2 linked regions of the Canis lupus familiaris genome follow. The protein of the gene in region 1 purifies or fractionates together with the protein of each later gene. This does not show direct contact. Links are inferred from orthologs where the notes say so. Each region holds a gene or a part of one and is shown in the gene's direction. Other genes may lie near its edges. The genes, in order: POLB and LIG3.

Region 1 (10,183 bases):
ACACAGGCAGAGGGAGAAGCAGGCTCCATGCTGGGAGCCTGACGTGGGACTTCATCCTGGGTCTCCAGAATCATCACACCCTGGGCTGAAGGTGGCGCTAAACCACTGAGCCACCTGGGCTGCCCGGCACTGATTTTTAAAAAGTATAATCCTCATATATACTACCCACATACAATGAGTATTTTATACTCCTATAAAAATGGCATAATACTCATATAGAACACAATACTTATATAAAAAACAATCCCAGAGTTCCCTAAAGTTGTAACTTTCATTTTTCAAAGGTGAATAAAAACTTTTTACTTTACTTTTCTTTTCTTTTCTTTTTTTTTTAGAGAGAGCATGAGCAGGGGAGGGGCAGAGAGTGTCCCCAGGCAGGCTCCTCACTCACCCAGGGCAGAGCTTGACTTCGGGGTTGGAACCCACCCCACAATCCCAAGATCACAATCTGAATCAAAATTAAGAGTCAATGCTCAACTACCTGAGCCATTCATGCGCTTCTGAATAAAAACTTTCTTAATTTAATGAGGGATGATCATTCTTCCGAACAAAATAATATGAATATGGCCTGGAATAAAGATTGAGTAGGAAAAAAGCTGAACTGGGAAAAATACTAAGACAATTCATATATCTAAACAAAGATGGGAATTAAGGCATTAAGTATCTGTGTTAAAAAGGCAAGGTACCTTTTCAGCTTTTGACTCAAAGAGGGCAAAGGTGTAACTGTCTTCTGTTCATCCGACACCAACACCAGCCGCCTCCTCCATGCCGCCTAAGTTCAACCCCAACGAGATCAAAGTCGTGTACCTGAGATGCACCAGCAGTGAGGCTGGTGCCAAGTCTGCCCTGGCCCTGAAGATCAGCCCCCTGGGTCTGTCTCCAAAAAAAAAGTGATGACATCACCAAGGCAACCAGTGATTGGGAGGGTTTGCAGATTACAGTGAAACTGACCATTCAGAATAGACAGGCCCAGATTGAACTGTTACCCTCTGCCTCTGTCCTGATTATCAAAGCCCTTAAGGAACCACCAAGAAACAGAAAGAAGCAGAAAAACATTAAGCACAGTGGAAATGTCACTTTTGCTGAGATTGCCAATATTGCCCGACAGATGCTTCAGTGATCTTTAGCCAGAGAATTCTCTAGAACCTTTAAAGATGTCTTGCGACTGCCCAGCTGTGGGCTACAATGTTGAGGCTGCCACCCTCAGGACATCACAGATGACATCAACAGTAGTGCGATGGAATGTCTAGCTAGTTAACTACAAAGGAAAATATTTCAAAAAAGGATGATTTGACAACCAAATAAAAAAGTAAATAAATAGGCAAAGTACAAGTTGGAGAAATACAAATATTTGCAAAAAACATACAATATACATAAAGGATTAGTATTTATATATAAAAGAGCTAACAAATTAAAGCAGACAACTATCCCTAAGAGAAAAATGAACAAAAGATACACAGAAAATTCACAAAGGAAGAAACACAAATATCCAATAAGCATAACTTAAGATATACAATGATGTTATGAAAAAACAACCAACCGCAACCTTGTTAATCAAAGAAATCGCTTGTATCTAAAGCATTATTCCATTGTTGAAAAAGAATTTTTTTTAACTTTTATTTATTTATGATAGTCACAGAGAGAGAGAGAGAGAGAGAGAGGCAGAGACATAGGCAGAGGGAGAAGCAGGCTCCATGCACCGGGAGCCCGACGTGGGATTCGATCCTGGGTCTCCAGGATCGCGCCCTGGGCCAAAGGCAGGCGCTAAACCGCTGCGCCACCCAGGGATCCCTCATTGTTGAAAAATAATGATAATTTTTAAAGAACTGGATTACAAGACTAGAAGTACATCGCAAAAAAATTAATCATGGTTGAGCTGGATGGTGAGATAATTATTTATTTTTTCTCCATTTATATATTTTTCAAATATTTTACTTATTTATTTGAGAGACAGCATGAGCAGAGGGCAGAGGCAGAGGGAGAAGCAGGCTCCATCCCAGGATCCTGGGATCATGACCTGAGCCAAAGGCAGATGCTAAATCAACTGAGCCAGCCAGCTGCCCCCATTTGTACACTTTTCAAATATTTCTACAATAGTCGTGTATTATTTTGCAATAAGCTTTTAGTTTTATTTCCATACAAAGCGATTGCCTGGAATTGGCAGTTCAGTATGAACCCAGGAGACACACTTGTAAAATAAAACATTGCTGATGTCACATTTCCATTTTATCAATTTTATTATTATTATTATTTTAAAAAAGATTTTATTTATTTATTCATGAGAGAGAGAGAGAGAGAGAGACATAGGCAGAGGGAGAAGCAGACTCCATGCCGGGAGCCTGATGTGGGCTCCATCCCGGGACTCCAGGATCATGCCCTGGGCTGAAGGCAGGCGCTCAACCGCTGAGCCACCCAGGGGTCCCTAAATTTTATTATTTTTAAAAGATTTTATTTATTTATTCATGAGAGACAGAGGCAGAGACATAGGCAGAGGGAGAAGTAGGCTCGCGGCAGGGACTCATTCCAGGACCCTGGGATCACCGCTGGAGCCAATGGCAGATGCTCAAACCAGGTGCTCCTATAAATTGTATTTATAGTACAAGTAATCTCTACATCCAACATGAGGCTTAAACTTACAACCCCCAGCTCAAGAGTGGCACGCTCACAGTCGGGGACTGAGCCAGCCAGGCACCCAGGTCATCATGCTTTAACGACAGTTTCATTGTTTATTATTATGTAGGTTAAGCACTTTTCCTCTTCCACTGTTCCCCCGCCCCCCTCTTTAGCCCCCACTGCAAAAGGCAGGGGAATAAAAAAATGAAATACCTTTGACATTGATTGGCATATCCACTAAATATGTTAGTATAGGAGGCTTTCCTGTAATTGGCATATTTCGTTCCAGGCTCCTGCCTGCACCCGAGATAGGAAACTCCACTGCACTGTTCACTGGCACTACATTCTTACAGAAAATGTGGACAGTAAATATGATGCAGATGTTCGTTTCTTACCACGTATAATAAGTCATGCATTCAATAACTATTTCTGTGCACATATGATACATGCACAAGAGGAGTCTTTGGTATGCTATCTCCCACCCACCACCTGACGTTTTGACTTTACAAAGTCGATGCCTTCTTTTCCCCTTCTGGGGAGAGAAGTGTACTGGGAATAGAGACATAATGTCTTCTAGGAATGCAGGTCTTCTTCCAGGAACGCAGTTAGCAAACACGAGCTTCGGTCCAGCCATCCCAGCCTAGCTCTCCGGCACCGCGCTCGAGCCCCGCCCCGAGCCCCGCCCCGAGCCCCGCCCCGAGCCCCGCCCCGAGCCCCGCCCCGAGCCCCGCCCCTTCTCGACACGCCCCCGGCGCGTGACGCCATGACGCGCGCCGTGCGCCGCGCCTCCTGTCAGAGGCGGCCATTGTTCAGTGGGTCTCGCTGGTTGTGCCGGGGCTGAATTGGTCCTGCCCCTCTCTCCAAGTCCCGGCCTCTCCCTGAAGCTGGGAGAGGGGGCCAGCCCCGACTCTGAGCACTCTGCGGTCCTCGGGTGCAGGCCACCATGAGCAAACGGAAGGCACCGCAGGAGACGCTCAACGGGGGAATCACCGACATGCTCACAGGTTAGCACCGGGCCGGGCGCTGCTGGCTTTCTTCTTTCTTCTGGTCTCGTAGCCTTCCCTTGCTTCTCTGCGGTCCCCACAGCCCTGTGGATGGGGCCAGCCCCTTGCAGCGGGTCGTCTTCCGTGCGGATCTTCCTCCGCCGCCCATTGCTGGTGGCTGAATGTCAGTCCTGCTGGGGACCCCCGTGTCACCGCTGGGGCTGTGGTTGACCTGGCCCGCGTACAAGGGGGGGGGGGGTGTCACTCCCCCTTAAGACGCTATTACACCCCCTCTGGAAAGCTCAGTTCTCGTTTGTTTACTCGTGGTTCTTATTCACCCGAGCCTCTTGTTGCCTTTGCAGAACTCGCAAACTTTGAGAAGAACGTGAACCAGGCAATCCACAAGTACAATGCTTACAGGTGGGCCCGTGCAGCTTTCTCTGGTAGCGTGCGTCCTGGGATGTGTGGCAGTTAACAGGGCCGAGGGGCCAGTAGATATTTGGACCATATGAGAGGCGAATAAAGCAAGAACTGAGGGTATTGGCTCTGTGGTGGTACCTAACTGCGATCGTTCTGGGGTAACTTGGGCAGAACTCTGTAAGGATCGTTTCTGACGAGTTCCCAATTCTAATTGAAAACAGGTGTAGCTGATAATGTATTTTTCCCGTCATCAAATATGAATTGATGAAAATGGAGTTTGATTTTAAGCCATAATGAAAGACAGTGGATTAGGTCTGTGCTGTGAAATGTTATTCTGGTTAGTGTTTGGCTGATCCTTGGCTCTCATCCTTGTCCATCTCACCAGAGCCTTTATGGCAGCCGATAATCCCACATCCAGTTATTTGTGCCCCTCAGCCTACAAACATGTCCAAGTCCCTCAGCTCTTAAAAGCAAAAACAAAGCAGTCTTGTCTTCCCTTTACCCTTTAGGTAGGTGCTGTCTCTCCTCTCCACTTTACAGTTAAACTTCTTGAATAATCTGTGTTTCTTGCCTTGACTTCCTCAGTCCTCATCATTCATTATCTCATTGTGGTATAATTTCCATCCCACCATTTCTCTGAAGGTGCTCTCACCTGCATCCCACCTTATTGGGCTCTCATTGGCATTCACCATTAGCTCATTCCATTTAAGTCTTACCCTTGAATTCTGGGATGGCACTCCTGTCTGTTCTTTCACCTCTTATATCTTCCTTTCAATGACAGTAGTTCCTGGAGGTCTGCCCTTAGTCTTTTTTTCGCACTTTTATAATTTCCTTGGCAATCTTACCATTCTTGGCTTTGGATACTGGTTATGTCAATTGGCTCCAAATCTGTATCTCATTGGGCTTTTCTCCAGATTCTTAGGTTTCTGTTACCTTTATCTTCATCCTTTCAAAGTTGAGTTCAGCTCAATACTTCCCTTCCCATTCAACATAATTAAAAACGGATTATGCTCCTTTCCTTATCCCTCTTAACTTCCTGTTTAAAGTAATTGTACTATCATCACTTGGTGATTTAAAAATCAGAGACATATTCAACATTATATTCTTTTAAAAAAAATATTTTTTCTGTCTATTCATGAAAGACACAGAGAGAGAGGCAGAGACACAGGCAGAGGGAGAAGCAGGCTCCATGCAGGAGCCTGATGTGGGACTGGATCCGGGATGACTCCAGGATGATTCCCTGAGCCAAAGGCAGATACTCAACCACTGAGCCACCAGGAGTCCCACAACATTATATTCTGTGTAAGTCACAGCAGGCTTCAGAGAGGAGGTGTTTAGTTTTTAAGGAGCCTGTCAGGGGATAAGTGAAAGGAAGAACAGTCTAGAGAAAGGAAACAAAATGTGCCAAGGCACTGAGACCTGAAGGAGTATAACATTTTCCCAGACGTCAGTAATTCACTTTGTTTATGGAGTATGGCCTGAGTGGGAAGTAAGTCTGGAAAAGCAGGTGATGCCTGCACGCACTTCCCTACCCTGATGAAACATTTCTCTTGATTGTGGCCAAAGTATTCCTTTGAAAATAGTTATCTGATCCTGTCATTCTTCCATATCAGATAATTAAATATTTCCTCTTTACCTTGATAAAGCTCAAATGCATTGTGGTGGCATACAAAAAGCCTTTCATGCTTTAATTCTTCCTTTCAGGCCCCATAATGCCAAGTTGTCTGGAACTGCTTTTCTTTACTGAAACAATTCCCTCAGTAAACTGCCCTCAACCTACTTTTCCAGACTCATCCTCAGTAATAGAGAAGTTCAAATCCAAATCTAAAAGCTTATATGTACGAGAATGATATGAAAAACCAAGGCAGCAAAGACTACCCAATACTTATGCTTTAGACTTAGATGTACTCTGCTTTTATCAGCCTCTCTGCTAAACTGCATTTAGCATTGAAATTATACACCAGAGACCATCAAATACTCCAGGGTGTGTCCAGTGTGTCACCAGATTATTGAGCTGAATGTGCGTGGAGATGGGCAAGAATCATAGGCCAGTGCTTTATGTGGAACTGAAATGAGCAATGAAGAAAAAGAAAATATGTATAAGGACATAGGGGAATGCAGTTGTAGTTTTAAGCTCTGAATTTAAAACTAGCCATCTAGGGGCACCACTCCCGGGATCGAGTCCCACGTTAGGCTCCCTATGGAGAGCCTGCTTCTCCCTCTGCCTGTATCTCTGCCCCTCTGTGTCTCTCATGAATCAATCAATCAATCAATCTTTTAAAAAATAAGTAAAAATAGCCATCCAGGGTCGCCTGGGTGACGCAGTCTGAGTGTCCGACTCTTGGTTTCTGTTGAGGGTATTGGGATCAAACCCTGTGTAAGGCTCTGTGCTTGGAGTGGAGTCGGTTTGGGATTCTCTCCCTCCCCCTCTCTCCATCTCTGCCACTCCCCTGTCCCCTCTCCCTCTCCCCCTCCCTCTCCTTCCCTGCCCCTCCCCCACACATGCATGCTCTCTTTCTCTCATTTTCATTCTTATTATCATTCTCTCTCCCCTCTCTAAAATAAATAAATCTTTTTTTTTAAAAAAGCCCATAGCAAGGGACCCCTGGGTGGCTCAGTGGTTGAACGTCTGTCTGCCTTTGATTCCAGGGTGCTGGGATTGAGTTTTGCATCAGGCTCCCTGAAGGGAGTCTGCCTATGTCTCTGCCTCTCTGTGTGTGTGTCTCATGAATAAATAAAATATTAAAAACAACAACAACAACAAAAACCCCATAGCCATCCATAAGCCACTTTGGTATCTAGTATTCCAAATACCACTAGGTGGCACATTTTTTATGAGAGTTACGAACAACTTCTAAAAACTAGCTTAATCCCTAAAAGGAAAAGCTACTGGTGTGATGAATCTCCGTAATTATAAATATATAGGTAAAATTATCCTCAAATGGGAGGATTTTCAAGATACTTCTGAAAATTATGCAGGTGGTCTGTCAGCTTACTCGAGTTATTTTAAGTTTGACACAAATGTGGAAAATTAGTTACTGTCATAAAAGTTGAAGCTGCATATTTGTGTGTGTATTCTAATTTAAGAAAAATTAAGACTTCACTGGATTTCTAACTGAATTTCTTTTTTTTTTCTTCTCAGAAAAGCAGCATCTGTGATAGCAAAGTACCCACACAAAATAAAGAGTGGAGCAGAAGCTAAAAAATTGGTAAGTTTAGTGAGCAAGCTGAATTGAAGAGTTCACACATGTATAAATTTGGTGGATTCCCAGAAAACTAAATTTGCCTCTTTGAAGCTGCCTTCATCCACACTGGCAGATTTTACTGCTCCTGTTTTTACTGGGGAGTGTGGATTGAAATTTTGCTTTATATATATGTAATTAAATTTTTTCTATACCCTGCCCTATATATATATGTACTTACATTAAATTTCAGCTTGAGTGTCAGCTCTCAAGAACAGTATAGTGACAGAATGGTATTGGCTTGTTTTGATCCCAGCTATCTTTGTCTGATCCCCAGGTATAGGAACTTATGTGAGTTAATGAGTTAGTGTTCCCAAGGAAATCTTACCTACTAATCACATAATTAAGCCCCTTTGTGTACTATTTCCTTTAGCCCTCTTCTCTGTATTTTCCTTAAAGCCCTGTATGCTGTGTCACAGTATGTGTCATAGTTCCTAGAGGGTCATGTCTTAGTAACTTTACATTAATACAATTATATTGCTATGAATATCCTAGGAAAGTCTACCTATTGGTAGATTGTTCTCTTTCATCTAAATCTCACTAAAAGATTCTAAGTTCCTCAAACTTGAGGACTGAATCTTATTTGTCTTTTGTTAAAGATGTCAAACTGACATGGCTTCTGATTAGTCTAGGTCCTCACAGTTCACCTTCTTCTGTTGACAAAAGCACTCTAGAATTTAGGTAGCAACATTTGATTGTCTTTAATTTTCTCATGAGAGCCTTCAGAGTATGAACCATAACTGTCCTATTATTTTCACCTTCAGGGTCACAAAATTACCATAAATCTTGTACATTTTATGATTGACAGATTTTCTGTATTAATCATGTTTTACATCTTCATCTTGAATTTATTACTCAATACTGACCATGCCTTGGTGTACAGGTTTTAAATTCTTTGTGCTATAAACAATTCTCAGTGTCAGTATATCCTCCCCAAATAGGCTAGCCAAGAAAGTTATAAATACATTGGATTTTGATTCTGAGTTTTTCTGTTGGTGAACTCCCGCATTATTAACTTCAGGAGGTACTTCTGCTTCCATTCTGTTTGCCTTATATCACTATTGAATTTCTTTTTCGGGCAGACCCGGTGGCACAGTGGTTTAGCGCCACCTGCAGCCCAGAGCGTGATCCTGGAGACCCTGGATCGAGTCCCACATCAGGCTCTGTATGATGCCTGCTTCTTTCTCTGCCTCTCTCTCTCTCTCTGTCTCTATGAATAAATAAATAAAATCTTAAAAAAAAAAAAAGAATTTCTTTTTCTATGTTAACTGTATGTAGCCTACTCATTTATTAGATTTAAATTTTAGACAAGCTCTGATACACTTTATCCCAAATCTGAGCTTATGGTATATCCGTAAAAAGAACACAAAAATGCAAAATTCCTTTTGCATGAGACTGGACTTAATATGACAATCTCATCATTATTCCTTTCCAATATTGTATTAAAAATCACAGACCTACTGTTCGGCACATATGAGTGCTTCTCAAAAATTCTAGAAATCTGATGTTTCCAGAGTGAGTGTTTGCCTCTTAATCTTTAACGTTAGGTATAGAAAGTAGCCAGGGCCTAAATTACTTTAGGTCAGGATGAATCTTCTGACCTAGGAAATAAGAAACCTGAGCAGTTTCCGTTTTCTAGTTTATTTCCTATATCTTGTTCCCTTCTATTGGGTAATTGCTATTTTCAGAACTTGAATATGCATTCAGTAGTCTTGGAACACTTAATCATTAAATAAATCAAGAATATAGAAGGGTGAACTTAGGGCCAAGAGACAGTAGGAAATGACTGGCACAGATGTTGATGCATTTGAACATTTAACTAAAAAGGACCAACACTGCCAAGAATGAACCGGAATGTAAACTTTGATGATGATACTTCAGTGTATGTTTATCAGCTATGACAAATGTAGCACTGTGGTGGGGGATGTTGATGATTGAGGAGGCTGTGCATGTATGGGGGGCTGGGGGCCTATGGGAACTCTACTTTGTGATCAGTTTTGCTGTGGACCTGTAACTACTCTATAAAAGCCCTTATTTAAAGGGGAAAAGTGAAAATAAAAAGGATCAAAAACATGAAAAAGATCAGCTCACTAATAAACAGAGTTGCAAATTAAAACAAGATGCTGTATGGTGCTATCAAACTATCAAATATAGTATACAGTATGGATAGAGATGTAGAAAAAGACATTCAGTTACTAATGATGGAAATCTTGGTGATTTCCAGCTTTTCTGAAGGATGATTTGGCAGAATGTTGGCAAAATATATATCCTTTGTCCCAGCAATTCCACTTTGAGGAATTTATCTTGAGGAAACCGGTAGAGATAGATATATGTATACAAGGATTCATTAGTTCATAATTTTGAGCACCTATAGGCCAGGTATTTATCCACATGCTCAAGGTAAAGGAGAGGAAACAGGATCTTTGCTCTCATAGGACTTATATTCTAGAGCAGTACTGTTCATTACAGTAACCATGAGCTACATTTGGCTGGTGAGCTCTTAAAGTGTGGCTAATGTGACCAAGGAATTGAAATTTTTTTTTAATTATTTATTTATTTATTCATGAGAGAGACAGAGAGAGAGGCAGAGACACAGGCAGAGGGAGAAGCAGGCTCCATGCAGAGAGCCCGACGTGGGACACCATCCCCGGTCTCCAGGATCACATCCTGGGCTGAAGGCAGCGCTAAACCGCTGAGCCACCTGGGCTGCCCTAAGGAATTGAATTTTTAAAATTTTAATAATGTAAACTTATAATGTCACATGTGGCTGGTGACTATCATGTTTGTGCAGTTCTAGAGCAGTGGTTCTCAAATTGCAGTACCTCGACCAGCAGCAGCAGCACCTGAACTTGTTAGAAATGTAACCTTTTGAGGCACCTGGCTAACTCAGTCAGTTGAGCATGCTACTCTTGGTTTCAGGGTCGT
Region 2 (9,473 bases), on another chromosome or scaffold:
TGTCCATTGGTCAAATGTTATCTTGTATAGCTTATAGCTTTTTCTCCCTCCACAGTAGAATCCCACTCTAAGATTCAGGTATTGCATTTTGTTGTCTCTGTGGCTTCCTTTAATCCGGAACATTTCCATAATCTTTCTTTTATGACATTGATTTTTTTTTTTTTTTTGACATTGATATTTTTGAAGAATAGAGTACCTACCATCACCCCCTCTTATCTTTTGATTTTATCCTGTGGACTTACAGATTACTTTTTCCTGGTGATTTTTAATTTACTGTATTTTATAATTCTATACTTGACTGTCCTATATTTGGCCACTTGGGGAAGCCCCTTTGCTCTGGTTTCTGTGTCCTGGATGCTGCCTCTTTTTTTTCCTTGTTTTAATGTTTTTAAGGACTTCCTTACTTTCTAGCATTGCAGCATGTGCTTAGGCTTACATTATTATTATTTTAAGATTTTGTTTTTAAGTAAGCTCTATAACCCAGTGTGTGTCTCAAACTCACAACTCTTGAGATCAAGAGTTGCATGCTCCACCGACTGAGCCAGCCAGGCACCCTTCTTAGGCTTACCTTGTATGTATCCTACCTACCACCACTCTGGAATCAGCCATTTGTCTAAAGAATCCTGGTTCCAATTAGTGGGGAATGGCTTTAGAGACCAAAATCTAGATGCTCTTTCCTTGTTGCCATGAGGTGTTTATGCCTTTCTTTTTTTTTTTTTGTTTTTTGAGTTTTTATTTATTCATTCATGAGAGACAGAGAGAGGCAGACACATAGGCAGAGGGAGAAGCAGGCTCCCTGCGGGGAGCCCGATATGGGGCTCAATCCCAGGACCCCAGGATCACAACCTGAGTTGTAGGCAGATGCTCAACCTCTGAGCCACCCAGGCATCCCAGGTGTCTTTGCTTTTAAGACCTTTCAGCAGGCAGAAATAGAAAATATATGCATGTTTACACACAAAACACATGCTTACACATACACAGTTATATATATATGTATGCATTCATATGTACAGATTCACGTGTGTGTATTTTTAGAAATCTTATACTGATACTTCCAAATCCAGTTAGTCATTTATGACCTTCCATGTGCTCATCTTTAAAGTAATTTTTGTATCTTCAATTAAGTATAGTTCTAGAAGGTCACTTTGGAGGACTCTGGCAGTGGCCCTAAAAATGGGCAAAAAAATAAAAATGGGCAACTATCTATCACTGTTCTTTGAGAGAAGATGTCCAGGAGAGAAAGCTACTTTGAGTATACTTTTTTTTCTCAAGCTCCCCATCCTGCCCTGCCCTGCCCTGCCCTGACTTGGCCATCTGCCTCAGCCTGTGTTACTTCTTGATTAATCGAAAAACAAGGTAGAATCAAACTCACACAGCTCAGAAGACTCAGCAACAGGGACTTTCCCTGCATGGGCCATCCTAATACTTGCTGTTCTCCATCTTCATTGTACTTTCTTATTCATCTATAAATTGGGGCTAATTCCATGGAGCTGAGGACCCCAGGTTTTATCTGTGGAGATGTGTTCTGATTTTTCCCAAATCCGGAGGTCATTCTATATGGGTTAAGAGGTGGAGAGTGCCGATGAAAATATAAATTACTAATAGAAGTAAAGAGCTCCTCGCCCCAGGACTCTCACCCACTGACTCCACTCAAAAAGGTCAGCAGTCCGCAGCCAACCTTGGAGTGATGTCACGGTAATAACTCATCTGGGAAGGCTGTAAGAGCAGTTGTTAAATTCTTGGGAAGTTTTTCTCAGGGATCTTTCACTGAAACATTTTCCCTCTTTTGGGGGTCCTACAGATCTGTCTTCTAAGGCAACAGGAACACCAAAGAAGAAAGCTGTCGTCCAGGCTAAGCTGACAGCCACTGGCCAGGTGACCTCTCCAGTGAAAGGTGCCTCATTTGTCACCAATACCAATCCCCGGAAATTTTCTGGTTTTTCAGGTGAGAGATTTGAGCTACTTTAGCTGTTATGGTCCTTTTAATTTGGAATCCTATTTGGGATTCTGGCCAAGAGTGAAAATTCTGTGCTATCTATCCTCATTCATAATTTGCTTCCGTCTGAGCAAAGAGGCAGGTAATGGCTAATTTTCAACATTCCCCTGGTATAGCATTTCTTTGTATACGTTAATCTTTAGTGCAACAAAAAAGATGTGTTTTCAAGACTTTTTCCCCTTGAAGTAGTCACCTGGGTCAGATGGAAATGATTATAACCTACCCTATAACTTCCTTGTGTTTTAGTAATGAAGGAATTTTGAGAAATTGCATCCCTAAACTTGCCCAAAGCAGAGATGAAAGTATGGTCAATGTCCTGCATGGCCTTACATAATAGGGAGCATTGGGTTCGGGACTTTTACCTCTGTAGTTACTTGTTTGTTCTTCAGTTAACCTTAGGAAGTACTTTCGCGAGCCCCATTTTATGAGTGAGAGAGCTGATGTCCAGTTCATTATGGAGTTAGTATTGATATTGAGGTCTCTTTAACTCCCAACACCTGTGCTCTTTTACCTTGCACCTTGTTGCCTCTTATTGGGAGACATTCTTGTGACCAACTCAGGTAAAGAAAGTAGAGCAGAACACATGAACTCAGAAGTTGTTCGGGGAAGGAGCTTTAAGCAAGTGAAAGAAACGTAGACTTGACGTTGGGAGACCTGGGTCTTGGTCCCAGGGCTGCCATGGGACAGCTTGCTCAGGGGAGCAAGTTGCTTTACCTCGGAGCCTCTGTGGCCTCATCTGTGAAGGGGGAATGGTAACACCTGCCTCCTTTACCCTACAGTATTTGCATGAGAACTACTGGAGAAAAGATGGCAAAATCAGTAACCCTGAGGTTTGTTTTTTCTTTGGTGGTAGGCCAAAACCAGAAATACAGAAGAGTCCCGGTGGCAATAAGGACAGCATGTTCCTGGAAGGGCCCAGGTCCTAGGGAGGGAAATTTGGGAGGAGCTGAGAGAAATGGGGTGTTCTAAAGTCTTACAATCTGCCAAGCACCAACACTTTGGAGATTTTGTTCCCTAAAATCATCTTTAGACCCTAGGTCAGAGATGAGGATGGATTTATAATTTACAGACCCCAGGCAAGAGGAAGCTTACATCAGCAGCCTGCTTGCTAATGGTTCTGCTGCAAGCTTGCAGAATGAAATGTGCTTTGTAAAGGAGGTAAGAGAGAATCACTCAGGAGTTGTACAGTATTTTGGGGTGTCTGGAGGAAAGTCTTACTCATTGACCCCCTTTTATTTTGGCACTAAGAAGTGGTGAGTGGGAGAGAGCACCAAAAGCCTTGGGATGCCTTCTCTCGGGTCTTGGGCTTCTCAGCAGTAAGAAGAGATTGAACCAGGTCATCTTTAAGGCTTCTTCCAGCCCCAAGTCTACGATAGTGACAGTTTACCACTGATGAACCTGTCCCTTGGTTTCTCTTCCATTCTCTTCTGCACTTTTTCGGTCAGCTTTACCATTGCTCTAAGGCCCACCCTCTGCACAAAGGCTACTTGTTCTATGCGGCACTTCTATAAAGAAACGCACAGCAGCTGAGCCTCTGCGCAAGTGTGAGCCTGTTTCATTACCTGTAAGATGGGTGTCATGGTATCCACCCCATAGGGTGATTTGGGGCAATGAAGTGGAGCTCCATTTGGAGCGCCAGCAGAGTTATTAGTTTCCCTTTCTTCCTTCTCAGCAAGGCAAATGAATCATCCCTGATGTTTCTTTCTCCAACAGCCAAGCCCAACAACTCTGGGGAAGCCCGCTCAAGCCCTACCCCTAAGGCAAGTTTGTCCTCAAGCAGATGTGATCCCAAGCACAAGGATTGTCTGCTACGTGAGTTTCGGAAGCTGTGTGCCATGGTGGCTGAGAATCCTAGCTACAACACGAAGACCCAGATCATCCAGGACTTTCTTCGGAAAGGTTCAGCAGGAGGTGGGATCTAGAACTGGATGGGTTTTCCTCTGAAGAGCTTAGAGCCATGGCTGGTTTCATGGGCATGTGAACCATACCTTTGCACAGGGCCCCATGCGTGGTTTAATCCTCTGTTAATACTGCCTTTAAAGTCTCTCTCTTTCTCTCTTAAGATTTTTTATTTTTAAGTAATGTCTATACCCAACTTGGGGCTCAAATTTACAACCTCAAGATCAAGAGTTGTATGCTCTACCGACTGAACCAGCCAGGCACCCCTTGAAATTCATAATAATTTTGAACAGAGAACTCTTGCCTTTTACTTCTTATTGGGCCCCACAAAGAATACAGCCAGTTCTGCTCAGAGCATATTGGTATCCTTCTTCTTCTGCCTTTATTTGATCCCCTGGAGGCCAGGAGAATGTATTGCATTTGACCAAGAGGAAAGTTCACTACCCTGCATGTTTGATCAGGTTTTTGTGACCCACATGCACAGCTGGAGTAGTCTTCCAGTTCTTTTATTCATCTAACAAATCATCATTGAGCATCTGTAATGTGCTCATCGCTGGCGACACTGAACTGAAAGTGTAGCCATGCCCTCTGGGAGTTCATCCAGGGGAGGTAGCCACGTGAGCCACCAGCCACCAGATGCTGTGGTCTCTACTACTGTAACAAAACACGCAGGGTATCTTGTATCGTGGTAGCGCAGACAGCAATGTAGACCTCTCTTTCAGTCCTTGAGTTTATGTATGTATTTGTTTAAGCTCCATTTCTCAAGAAGGCTTCGATTCTTCTGTCTCCAGATGGTTTCCACGGTGACGTGTACCTAACAGTGAAGCTGCTGCTGCCGGGTGTTATTAAGAGTGTTTACAACTTGAATGATAAGCAGATTGTGAAGCTTTTCAGCCGCATTTTTAACTGCAACCCAGATGATATGGCACGGGACCTAGAGCAGGTCAGAGGAAAGGGAGGGTGGGCAGCGTTCCAGGTGGGGCTCTGCCAAGCCAGGCACCTGCAGCCTCTTTTTTCTCGTTGGGGCACATACTGTTTCAGGAAACTGAAACCCATTTGAGCAAGCTTCCTTTATGAGAGCTCAATGTGAGGCTACAGCCGTTAGTTTCACAAGATTCTGAGGATTGCAGTCATACTGCCACAGAGCCCCAAGGGGCCTAGATTTCGAAGGACAGGATTTGAGATCTCCCATGGTCTCTCCTTGGGTTCCTGTTCAGGACCCTACTTTTTTTTTTTTTTTTGCTTTTTTTCAGTATAACTTGGTATAACATGGGAGCCCTGGGTGGCTCAGTGCTTGAGTATCTGCCTTTGGCCCAGGACATGGTCCTGGGGTCTCAGGGTCCCGGGATCGAATCCCGCATCAGGCTCCCTGCATGGAGCCTGCTTCTCCCTCTGCCTGTGTCTCTGCATCTCACTGTGTGTCTCTCATGAATAAAAAATAAAATCTTTTCAAAATTTAAAAAAAAAAAAAAAAAAAAACTTGGTATAACATTCAGCTTTGTTTATTCGTGACTCCAGTTTTGGCATCATGGAAGGTTTTATCCAAGCCACCCCCCCTTATCTGATGACCATATTTGTTTCTTAGTTCAAATTCATTATTTTTTTAAATATTTTTCGAGAGAGAGAGGAGGGCAGTAGGGGAGGGGCAGAGGGAGAGAGAATCTTAAGCAGGTTCCACACCCAGCACATGAGCCCAAGAGGGCTCAATCTCACAATCCTGAGATCATGACTTGAGCCAAAATCAAGAGTCAGACACTTAACTGACTGAGCCATGCAGGTGCCCCCCGCTTAGTTCAAATTCTAACAGGAATCAGGGACACCTGGGTGGCTCATTGGTTTGGTGCCTGCCTTTGGCCCAGGGCGTGATCCTGGAGACCCGGGATTGAGTCCCACGTCAGGCTCCCTGCATGGAGCCTGCTTCTCTCTCTGCCTGTGTCTCTGCCTCTCTCTCTGTATCTCTCATTAGTAAATAAATAAAAATTTTTTAAAAAGCTTAAAAAAAATTCTAACAAGAATCAAATTGGCTCAGTCCTGGATTAGTCCTTATATCACCTCTCGGCCAAGGCAGGTGGCCAGATCTTGTGGTGGGTAGAGGTGCTCTTTCAGAAACTGTGGGTGGGATAGATTGTCCAAGAAGTGAGATTAATATGTGTGAGTTGGGGACATGAGTGATGTTCACTGTTAGTCCTGAAGGCTTGGGGGAAACACTCGGCCATTCTGGGGTTGCAACAATTTTGGTTTTTGGAGACAGGGCGACGTGTCAGAGACAATCAGAGTCTTCTTTGAGCAGAGCAGATCTTTCCCCCCAGCTGCCAAGAGCCTTCTTACCATCCAGGAAGTGGACAAATTCCTCCTTCAGCTCTCCAAGCTCACCAAGGAGGATGAGCAGCAACAGGCCCTGCAGGACATCGCCTCCAGGTGGGAGAGCTGCCCAGTGAGGATGGGCTTGGGGTGATAGAATCACCAGGAAAGGAAGGTTTAGGGGTCCAGAGCTCTCCAAAGACCAAGTGGAATGTGCCTTCCCCCTAGGTGTACAGCCAATGACCTTAAGTGCATCATCAGATTGATCAAACACGATCTGAAGATGAACTCGGGTGCAAAACACGTGTAAGTACCAATCCCTCTGACAGCCTTAGCTGCTGGCTTCCTGTGTTGCCAGCTGGTGTCAGGAGTTTTAAGTCCTGATCTGGATTCAAGTCCTGGTTCCACCTTACTCCTTCCTTCGGGGCCCATCACTTGACCTAGCTCAGTCTCCATTTTCTTATATGAAATGTCAGAATACCCTTCTCACATAGTTATTAGAATTGAAAGCATAGAAATGTTCAATAAATAGAGTATGAGTTACTTGCCCACTCTAGCTCCCTCTTTGCTTAAGGCAGTATCCATGTTGACCCAGGATCTCAAAATCATTGAGTTTTCCAAGAACATTTTATCCTGCAGAAGGCTTTAAACAGTAGAACGTAAGCTTTCTCCCTATATTGGAATCCTTCCTCTCTGCAAGAACTGACTGCTAGCTAGCTAAAGCAATAAGGTCAAAGGCAATGGTTTTTGTTTTTTTTTTTTTGCTCCTGTCTGCCCCGGCAGGTTAGATGCCCTTGACCCCAATGCCTATGAAGCCTTCAAAGCCTCACGCAACCTGCAGGATGTGGTCGAGCGGGTCCTCCGCAACGAGCAGGAGGTGGAGAAGGAGCCAGGCCAGAGACGAGCTCTGAGTGTCCAGGCTTCCTTGATGACGCCAGTGCAGCCCATGCTGGTAAGGATGCTGCTCTGGCCCTACTTTGTCCAGATGTTCTAACCTTCCCTGTGAGATCTGGGAGGGTATGAATGTCGGAGGAGTTTGGGTCAGGCACAATGGAGATGCAAAAGGGTATATCTCAATGGGTGTATAAAGGTGAAGGAGAAGACTGTGGTCTGGTAGAAATGTCTGAACTTGAGGCCCAGCTCTGCCGCCAGCAAGCTGTAGAATCTGGAATGAATTACCTAGCCTTTCTTGGTTTTTCATTTCCTTGCGTGAATTATGTATGAAACCATCTGAAGCATCTAGTTAGAATCCTTTTTCAGTCATCTTTCCTAAAGATAGGTGGATACATTAACTCCTAAAGTTCTGTGACCTACCCCAGAGTAGCTCTGACAGTTATAGTGGCAGAGCCAGGCTTCCTGTGACACAGTGACTTGACCTCTTTCTTCTGGAAACAAGCCTAAGGAATGAAGACCAGGTCTGACTTGGTATAACATGGGAGCCCTGGGTGGCTCAGTGGTTGAGCATCTGCTCAAGATCATCTTGAGCCTCTGCTCATTTCATGAGAAGTAGGATTTCCTATCTACATTGGTTTTTCTGGGCAGTGGGACCCTCCCCAAATGCCATGCCTAGTGAGAGCCTTGGGGTTGCTCCATTGGGGTGCAGTGCCTTTCATGAGCCTGTCTTGTGACATGTAGTCTACAATATAGACTACAGCCTTTGGTTAGGGTTCTGTGTTTGGGATGGGGAAGTGTTTTCTCTCTCCCGGAATGTGGCACGGCCAGCACCAAAGTAGTGAGCTCTGCATCCCAGGGACAGGACTCAGATCACAGTAGTGATCTTTCTGACTTTCATACGAATTCTTCTTGGAGTCTGTTGTACAACCTGCCATTTATTCAAAGAGTGTATAGGTTAGATAGTTTCGTGATAAACTACACAGGCTTTGGAGTTGGGCCTAGCATCATTCCTGCCCCTCACTTGCTGTATAACTTGAAGTGAGGACTTCTAATGCTCTTCAAACTGGTTTTCTCATCCATAAAATGAAAACTGTGTCTATCACATAAGATGATCTGACACATACAGACACCCCCAGGATGGTAGTGGTTAGGTTGAGTCTGGATGGCACTGGTATGTGCAGAGGCACTCTTGTGGCCTGTCCTGGGGCTCTCTGACCACTGCTACCATGCCAGCCTCTCTGTCGCCTACCTCTCTTTATCTTCCCCTCTACATATCTCCTGTGCTGAGGTCACTGCTGTTTTGGGGGATTTTTTTTTAAGATTTTATTTATTTATTCATGAGAGACAGAGGCAGAGACACAGGCAGAGGGAGAAGCTGGCTCCTCTTAGGGAGCCCGATGTGGGATTCGATCCCAGGACCCTGAGCCAAAGGCAGACACTCAACCACTGAGCCACCCAGGCATCCCTACTGCTGTGTTTAATAGGAAGCCAAGGCCCTGCAAGATCCTGAATTACTGAGAAAAAAAAAATGAAATACTGTTTCAGTGGAATTTTATTTATTTGTAGTCCCCAAAAGCCCAGCTCCTGTTTTAGCTGCAGTGATGCTTATAGTCCAAATAAGCACTGCCTAGCCTTGTACATTTCCCCCAGCTCTTGAGCAGTCTGCCTGGAGGGTATCCTGTGGTCAGCAGGCCTTGGGACCTGGACTCTGGGGCTGTCATGCCCAAGCAGCCCCCAGTGAAGAACACCTATAAGTCTCCAGGCTTTTCTTTCCCCTTCCCCCTCCCAAGGCCGAGGCCTGCAAGTCCATCGAGCATGCGATGAAGAAGTGTCCTAACGGCATGTTTTCCGAGATCAAGTACGATGGGGAACGAGTCCAGGTGCATAAGAACGGGGATCACTTCAGCTACTTCAGCCGCAGCCTTAAGCCTGTGCTGCCTCACAAGGTACAGGTCCCTTCCTCTGCTGGGACCATCTCCCTCCCTTCCCCTAAGAACCTCGAGGCTGTGGTTCTGTAGTCCTTTCAGCTCTGGTATGCAGTAGAGTTTCTTTTGTATTTGTTGAATGAATGTATGTATTTTTGGAGTCTTGCAATGAAGGGCTGCTCAGTGGGGACACCCGAAGATCCCACACTTGGGTTAGCACAGAGCCCCAGGGGACGGTGACATTCCCCTTGCCCACATTGATGCTGGGACCATGAGCTCACCTGGCAAGTGACTTGCAGTGCTTGTCTTCTGCGTTTCCATGTCCTGTGTGCTCCACGAGTGAAATTACAGGTTAGGGACAAAGAAGCTATTGGGCTGTCCTTCATGAATTTGATAAGCCTTTACTGAGTGCTTAGTCTGCGCTAGGTGCTATTCTTGATAGTGGATGTACAGCAGTA

Evidence for each region.
Region 2: the proteins of POLB (region 1) and LIG3 purify together in Homo sapiens (affinity purification with mass spectrometry; 3 studies listed by BioGRID and IntAct, counting the BioPlex papers as one, with this or other methods). This does not show direct contact. The link is inferred for Canis lupus familiaris from reciprocal best matches to the Homo sapiens genes POLB and LIG3.

Annotation. Positions count from the first base shown.
Region 1 is NC_049237.1:24,061,973-24,072,155, reverse strand, and holds the start of POLB (DNA polymerase beta), read left to right. Parts: upstream 1-3,390; 5' UTR 3,391-3,556; coding exon 3,557-3,617; intron 3,618-3,958; coding exon 3,959-4,016; intron 4,017-7,158; coding exon 7,159-7,225; intron 7,226-10,183.
Region 2 is NC_049230.1:38,322,590-38,332,062, reverse strand, and holds part of LIG3 (DNA ligase 3), read left to right. Parts: intron 1-1,801; coding exon 1,802-1,945; intron 1,946-3,709; coding exon 3,710-3,907; intron 3,908-4,686; coding exon 4,687-4,838; intron 4,839-6,146; coding exon 6,147-6,313; intron 6,314-6,424; coding exon 6,425-6,502; intron 6,503-6,979; coding exon 6,980-7,148; intron 7,149-8,880; coding exon 8,881-9,036; intron 9,037-9,473. UniProt on the Homo sapiens protein: Isoform 3 functions as a heterodimer with DNA-repair protein XRCC1 in the nucleus and can correct defective DNA strand-break repair and sister chromatid exchange following treatment with ionizing radiation and alkylating agents.